Linked DNA regions of Saccharomyces cerevisiae S288C. The gene in region 1 interacts genetically with each later gene. Each region holds a gene or a part of one and is shown on either strand. Other genes may lie near its edges.

What was found.
Region 2: mutations in MOD5 (region 1) and TRM82 impair growth when combined (synthetic growth defect), as found in Saccharomyces cerevisiae (one study listed by BioGRID).

What each region holds. Positions count from the first base shown.
Region 1 is NC_001147.6:835,368-839,460, forward strand, and holds MOD5 (tRNA dimethylallyltransferase), read left to right. Parts: upstream 1-2,306; coding exon 2,307-3,593; downstream 3,594-4,093. Other genes in the region: TPO4 (Tpo4p), read right to left, coding at 1-1,064; RIM20 (Rim20p), read right to left, coding at 3,717-4,093. UniProt on the Saccharomyces cerevisiae protein: Catalyzes the transfer of a dimethylallyl group onto the adenine at position 37 in the anticodon loop on a specific subset of tRNAs both in the cytosol and the mitochondrion, leading to the formation of N6-(dimethylallyl)adenosine (i(6)A).
Region 2 is NC_001136.10:783,278-786,705, forward strand, and holds TRM82 (Trm82p), read left to right. Parts: upstream 1-1,593; coding exon 1,594-2,928; downstream 2,929-3,428. Other genes in the region: SEC1 (Sec1p), read right to left, coding at 1-938; exocyst subunit SEC5, read right to left, coding at 3,029-3,428. UniProt on the Saccharomyces cerevisiae protein: Required for the formation of N(7)-methylguanine at position 46 (m7G46) in tRNA, a modification required to maintain stability of tRNAs; its absence resulting in tRNA decay.

The DNA.
Region 1 (4,093 bases):
GATATCCCCATAGACATGTGGTAAACACCACGATAAATGACAGCGTATGCTTCGAAAAATCCAAATAAAATGGCGAATATGAAAGCGACATAAACACTGAAAACAAATACAATAGGTTCAACGACAAGCATTTTTAAAGGCCTTAAGATTGTAATAGTGACAGTGGTTTTTAAAAATTCTTTCTGAGCTTCCCTGCTGAACTTCTTCAAGGCTATATTTCTCTTCTTGGCACGCTTTCTTAAAATAATACCTTTATGGGTCTCTGGCATGAGCGCAATAAATGGCAAGATTAGACCGCCCGCAATCAATTGGATCCATTCAGACCAACGCCAGCCTTTGGCTTCAGTAGCAAATCCTGCCATAATAGGAGATAAAACTGGCCCTAAGAATGGAGATAGAACAAAGTATGTCATTGCGACGGAGACCTGGTCCACGTCAAAGATATCCAGGATGGTACCTGATCCAACGGATAAGGCGGGGGATGCAAAGACACCTGATAAAAACCTTAGGGGTAGAATTATTCTCATGTGGCCATTGGATAACCCAACACCCATGGTGAAAAGCATTGACACAGGTAGGGAAAATAAATAGACAGGCTTACGACCAAACACTTCACTTAATGGAGCGCCGATGACAGTCGATAAACCCAGAAGATAGAAAGTTAAACCAGCAAGCGCCAAAGTCTGACTAACGTGATATCTTTCTACCAATTCTGGTACGGAAGAAACATATAGGGAACTACCCATTGTGACGACCAAACAAAGAAAAGCTGAAGTCATAGTAGTATACCATTTCTTCAAAGAGGACCAATTATGCGGATTGTCTGGGTCATCGGGCCCGTCCCAATCGAGATCTCTTGGGTCAATTGGCTCGCCCCCTGTCATGTTATTGGAATCTGCATTCGGTTCTGATCTTTTTTCGTCCTCTGTTATTGACCCTGTCGAAGAAGAAGTCGAATCCAAGTTGCCGCTATTAGTTACATTTTTGTCCAAGGCTTTTGGTACCTGCTGTATGTTTGTTCGAGGATCTGAGTTAGATTCGGTTTTTGTCAAAGAAGAAGGCATTAGTAAAACTTAAAATATATGTATACGATGTCTATGCTTCTTTGTGTGTGTATGTGTGTGTATAAGATGGTATCTTTATTCTGTAATTTTCAGGAAAGTGATGACTAGAAAATCGATGTGTCAGGTACAACAAATTGACAACCTATAACTTTCCATACAGGCGAATATATATATACACATAAACACATTCAAGCCTCCGGTACCGTTTGCTCTGACAAGGACAATTAGCATGTAAGCACGAGTGCGGGTATGCAATCATTTCAGTGTTTCCTTCATTTGGCATAGTGTCGTAACACGGATTTAAGGTGAGCCGTCAGGGGCTTTTAAGCGGAGCCCCTGCAGCTTCATGAAGACGGAACCGCACGGGCCTATTACCTCGGGGATAGATCAATTATCCGAAGCGGGTCACAACCCGGAAATAATAACCACTATGCCCGACCGTACCGACGTGGCACTATTTTTGGGATCCGTGGAAGTCGGCCATTAGTGGTAATCGGCGAAAACAAGTTTATTGCAGCTAAAGCACGCCATACGGTTGATATAAACAGCAATTAGGCACTTTTTCTCTTATTATTCATATGCCTTATTGGCTTGTGGCTTGTGGCTTGTAGCCTATGCAAATGCATTTGCTGATAGCAGCATAAGAAAGTTGGGAAGAAACGCTAACTGTACTTTTTATATCCAGAGTTCATTAGTTGATCTTTTACCCCAATAATTTCTTCCACTTGCGGCCTGCTTCTTCGCATTTCTCCCATTCCGGGCCGCGACTCCGTAGTTCTTACAGAAACAGCCGCCTCCATAACCATCTATGATAGGAAAAAGATGGACAAACAGGAAAAGAGCTAGGGAGTATAACCTGATTCCTGACATGTATAGGATTCGGGTAATTTTGAAATACGAAGCTCTTTGCATTCCGAGACCGGTTTAGGAAGATTTATTTACATATCTACTTGCGCTATTGTGGTCATGCCTTCGAAAGATAAAGAGCGAATTTTGCTCGTATAAGCTAAAATCAGGTAAAAGTTCCTTATGTTGCTGCTCCTCGATGGCAACGTCGATCTAAGATCTTGATTACTGAATCAGGCGAAAGCACACGTTCATCTTTCGCTCATCGGAAAGAAAATTAAAACAGAAAAAAATTCTAAAATGGCAAAAAAGAAGAAAAGCTCAGTGAGGGCTGTATAGTTTATTAGATAAGCTACTATACGTACATATCTTTTGTAAATAGAACCAAAAATCTTCATGCTAAAGGGACCGCTTAAAGGTTGCTTAAATATGTCTAAAAAAGTTATAGTGATTGCTGGTACAACAGGAGTAGGAAAGTCTCAGTTGTCCATACAATTGGCACAAAAATTTAATGGCGAAGTTATCAATTCGGATTCTATGCAGGTATATAAAGATATTCCTATTATAACAAATAAACATCCGCTTCAAGAAAGAGAGGGCATTCCTCACCATGTAATGAATCACGTAGATTGGTCAGAAGAATACTATTCCCATCGTTTTGAAACTGAATGCATGAACGCTATTGAAGATATTCACCGGAGGGGTAAGATACCCATCGTTGTTGGGGGTACTCATTATTATTTGCAGACTCTTTTCAATAAGCGGGTCGATACGAAATCATCCGAACGTAAGCTCACAAGGAAGCAGCTCGATATTTTGGAATCGACTGACCCTGATGTGATTTATAACACACTTGTGAAGTGTGATCCTGATATAGCTACCAAATACCATCCTAATGACTACAGGAGGGTACAACGAATGTTGGAAATCTACTATAAGACGGGCAAAAAACCAAGCGAGACATTTAACGAACAAAAAATAACTTTGAAGTTTGATACCCTATTTTTATGGCTATACAGTAAGCCGGAGCCACTTTTCCAAAGGCTTGACGATCGTGTAGACGACATGCTAGAAAGAGGCGCCTTGCAAGAAATCAAGCAATTATATGAATATTACAGTCAAAATAAATTTACGCCGGAGCAATGCGAGAATGGTGTTTGGCAAGTTATTGGCTTCAAAGAATTCTTACCGTGGCTAACCGGGAAAACTGATGACAACACAGTAAAATTGGAGGATTGTATAGAAAGAATGAAAACGAGAACACGTCAATACGCAAAAAGGCAGGTAAAATGGATCAAGAAAATGCTGATACCTGACATCAAAGGCGATATATACTTACTGGATGCCACTGACCTTTCTCAATGGGACACGAATGCATCTCAAAGAGCGATAGCTATTTCCAATGACTTTATTAGCAATCGACCCATCAAGCAAGAAAGGGCACCTAAAGCCCTAGAGGAGCTGTTGTCTAAAGGCGAAACTACGATGAAGAAATTGGACGATTGGACACATTATACTTGCAACGTCTGTCGTAACGCAGATGGTAAGAACGTTGTAGCTATTGGCGAAAAATATTGGAAAATTCATTTGGGTAGCAGAAGACATAAATCCAACTTGAAAAGAAACACTCGTCAAGCTGATTTTGAAAAATGGAAAATAAACAAGAAGGAGACTGTGGAATGAAAATATTAGGAAAAAGGAGTTTATCCTGAGTGTATATATCTACATAAGTGAAGCTGGGTTTTGATAATGGAAAGGGAGGATGACAAGCTCAAAATATACTTTATAGATGAATGAGGACAGGTATCATTGGTCTTCAAATGTCAAACTCTTATCAAGCCTAGCTTTTTCTGCTCTTCTTGCTGTATCATATTCCTGTACCTCATTGTACAGATTGCTGGTAGAAGTAATTAAATTTTCGTAAAATGCTGTGCCGGCACTTAAATTTTCTTTCACCTCATCAAGCAGTTTGAAGGAATATCTCAGATCTTCAATATATAGCTCTCTGGGATCTATTCTTACCATTTTCTTTGGTTCAATCCCGCTTCTGCCGGGGTTATTCTTCTTACTTAGGTTTACTTCCTCAATAAGTTTGATATTTTCTTCCTTTGTACTATTAACGTATCTTAAATCTTCGTCAAAGTATTTTAAATGGCCTATGAAAATGGGTTCAAAGTCGACTG
Region 2 (3,428 bases), on another chromosome or scaffold:
AAATCAATCCAGTCAGGATCATACAAATCTACCAATTTTGAAACCTTTTCCTCTTGCTCACCAGCTTCATTCTCGGCAGAATAATGATATATATCTTTTTGTGTGTCCACATTAGCTACCAGGTCATAAGCCATTGCTTGATAGCTAAAATCATGTAATATTGGCGCAAAAGGGTCCAGTGTTCTATCGGTGATTATTAGAATGGAACGCGGTCTTTCAGTGTTTTGAGGAGGGAAATCTGGATTATTGCGAGCGTATGTATCTATCGCTATTTGGAAAGCGTTTGCAATAGACCTTGTTAAAGAATTTGCGTTGACTACGGCGTTTCCATTGCGGGCATCTTCCTCTTCCACAGGATTAGATACAGAATATCTAACAATCGGATATTCCCCCGTAATAACACACAAACTAACTAGTGAGCCTACAATCTTCCTCACGTTAGTAGGAATCAAAGCCTTACAGTTGTTGTTGAAAAAAACCTGTAATGAGTGTTCCATTTGTAAAGTTTCGAAGAATTGAGATTCTTTGACGAAAAACCCTAGTTCGATCGGCTTAAATGACTCCAAATTTTGAGCAATGTAACGTTTTGATTGAAAAAACTGAAATATAGGGTTTGTTAATCCTGGTAAAAATCTGATGTGACATCTTCTGTACTTAGGTGGTCTTACCATGAAGTCAGCATCGATACAATTGATGTTATATTTCGTTGGTTCCAATATGTAAATTGCCTCGATGGAGGATTGTCCTTTTCTTGTTGGGGAATCAATCAAATCAACAGATGTGACATTATTTAAAAGTTCTTGGGGTGTGAGGAAAAGATAACTCAATATTGTCTCCACAGTTTTATCGATAATAAGAAACTTCAAGTTATTTTTCGTCTCAATCTGATTCAAAACCCCTATCAAATAGTTCCTCTGTAATTCAATTAAATCAGACATCGTTCCGCCAAACCAAGCATGTGCACACTCTTCTACTTTGTCAGTGGATTCTAATTATTTTCAAGGTCTTACAAAGCAATGTCTTACTAGTTTCAATAGGGACTTAAACTGATCGTTTAAGCAAAAGAAAAACACCGTGCTGTGTGACCATCTACCAATAATTGCGAGAACATAAGACGACGCCGCCATTCACCTCTCTATCACTTACACCATGTTATAGGGATAAGTGTGTAGTCGATCGGCTATTCGATGATTTTTAAAGAGTGCCTGTAATAATAGCTGTATCGCAAGTAAGGAATACAAGATTACTGATATTTTGATCCAGGAGGATGGACATGTTAGATAGAAAAACTAAGAGGGCTACTACATCCGGTTTAGTATTCTGTTATTGGGAATGCTTTTCCCAAGACGCAAGCAAGAGGTGACACATAAACATAGTTTTCTTATTGTATCGTTACATATTCTTATTTTACGCTGCTGTCATTAAATATGGCACTTATCTCAGATACATTTCTTTTAATCAGCGAAAAAAATGGCGAGGTGAAAAAAATCGATGAGATGAAAAAATTTTTTACTAGTAAAGGCGTATTGATGATATATTAGCAGCTAAAGTATAGCAAGGTTTGTCAATTTGAAGCAGTCCGCGTGTTTTACAATGAGCGTCATTCATCCTTTGCAGAATTTACTCACCTCTCGTGATGGCTCATTAGTTTTCGCCATCATTAAGAATTGTATCTTAAGCTTCAAATATCAATCGCCAAATCATTGGGAATTTGCTGGAAAATGGTCTGATGATTTCGACAAAATTCAAGAATCGAGAAACACCACTGCTAAGGAGCAACAAGGACAATCCAGCGAAAACGAAAACGAGAACAAAAAATTGAAAAGTAATAAAGGCGATTCCATTAAAAGGACAGCAGCCAAGGTACCATCTCCAGGTCTTGGCGCCCCACCGATATATTCGTACATAAGAAATCTGAGATTAACTTCGGATGAATCAAGACTAATTGCGTGCGCAGATTCTGACAAGTCCCTCCTAGTTTTCGATGTCGACAAAACTTCCAAAAATGTCTTAAAGTTGAGAAAAAGGTTCTGCTTCTCAAAGAGACCGAATGCTATTTCTATAGCCGAAGATGATACTACAGTCATAATAGCTGACAAATTTGGTGATGTATATTCTATTGATATTAATTCTATCCCGGAAGAAAAGTTTACTCAAGAACCTATTCTCGGTCATGTCTCTATGTTGACTGATGTACACTTGATTAAAGACTCTGACGGTCATCAATTCATAATTACAAGTGATAGAGATGAGCATATTAAAATTTCGCATTATCCCCAATGTTTCATTGTGGACAAATGGCTCTTTGGTCATAAGCATTTTGTTTCTTCCATATGCTGTGGCAAAGACTATTTATTATTAAGTGCAGGTGGTGACGATAAAATCTTCGCTTGGGATTGGAAAACTGGTAAGAACTTGTCTACCTTCGATTATAATAGTTTGATTAAACCTTATTTGAATGATCAGCATTTAGCACCACCAAGATTTCAAAATGAAAATAATGATATTATTGAATTTGCAGTTAGTAAAATTATAAAGTCAAAGAACCTACCGTTTGTTGCGTTTTTCGTCGAAGCTACAAAATGCATAATAATTCTGGAAATGTCCGAAAAACAAAAAGGGGATCTTGCACTAAAGCAAATTATAACTTTTCCATATAATGTTATCTCATTATCCGCCCATAATGATGAATTCCAAGTCACCCTAGATAATAAGGAATCATCTGGTGTGCAAAAAAATTTTGCCAAATTCATTGAATATAACTTAAATGAGAATAGTTTTGTCGTGAATAATGAAAAATCAAACGAATTTGACAGTGCCATCATACAATCAGTACAAGGGGATTCTAACTTGGTGACCAAGAAAGAAGAAATTTACCCGTTATACAATGTTTCCTCGTTAAGAAAACATGGAGAACATTACTCGTGAAATAAAAAGGTAGTAAGTACATCTTTATAACTAATATAAAAAAAGATACGTACCGATTTGTGTTAATAATCATTGTTAGTACATCTTTATACCTCTGTTTCTAGCTGAAGGCGGCGAATTGAATAGCAGTTCTTTTTAAATTGGCAGATACAATAGGATTAATCTCATTGATACATTTTTGTAGTCTATTTGTGTCGTTCTGGAAACAGTTTTGTAAGCACGCCCTTAATGTGGCCTCGGTGTCCTTTTCAAGTAAAGGACCCATAACCTTCTGAAAGAATTCCAAATCCACTATAATTTGTAATGAGCCATCATTAGAAAGATTACCAACATAAGGCTTAAATGCCTCAAAGAGGTATCTGGCTATAAAAATCTGCGTTTCAATTAAAATCTTATGGATGAGCTGAGGCCCAATTCTAAAGCACTCACTGTGAACCACGATCAGAATCATTAACGCTTCTATAATATAGTCACCAACCCTGAATGAATTTGATGTATAC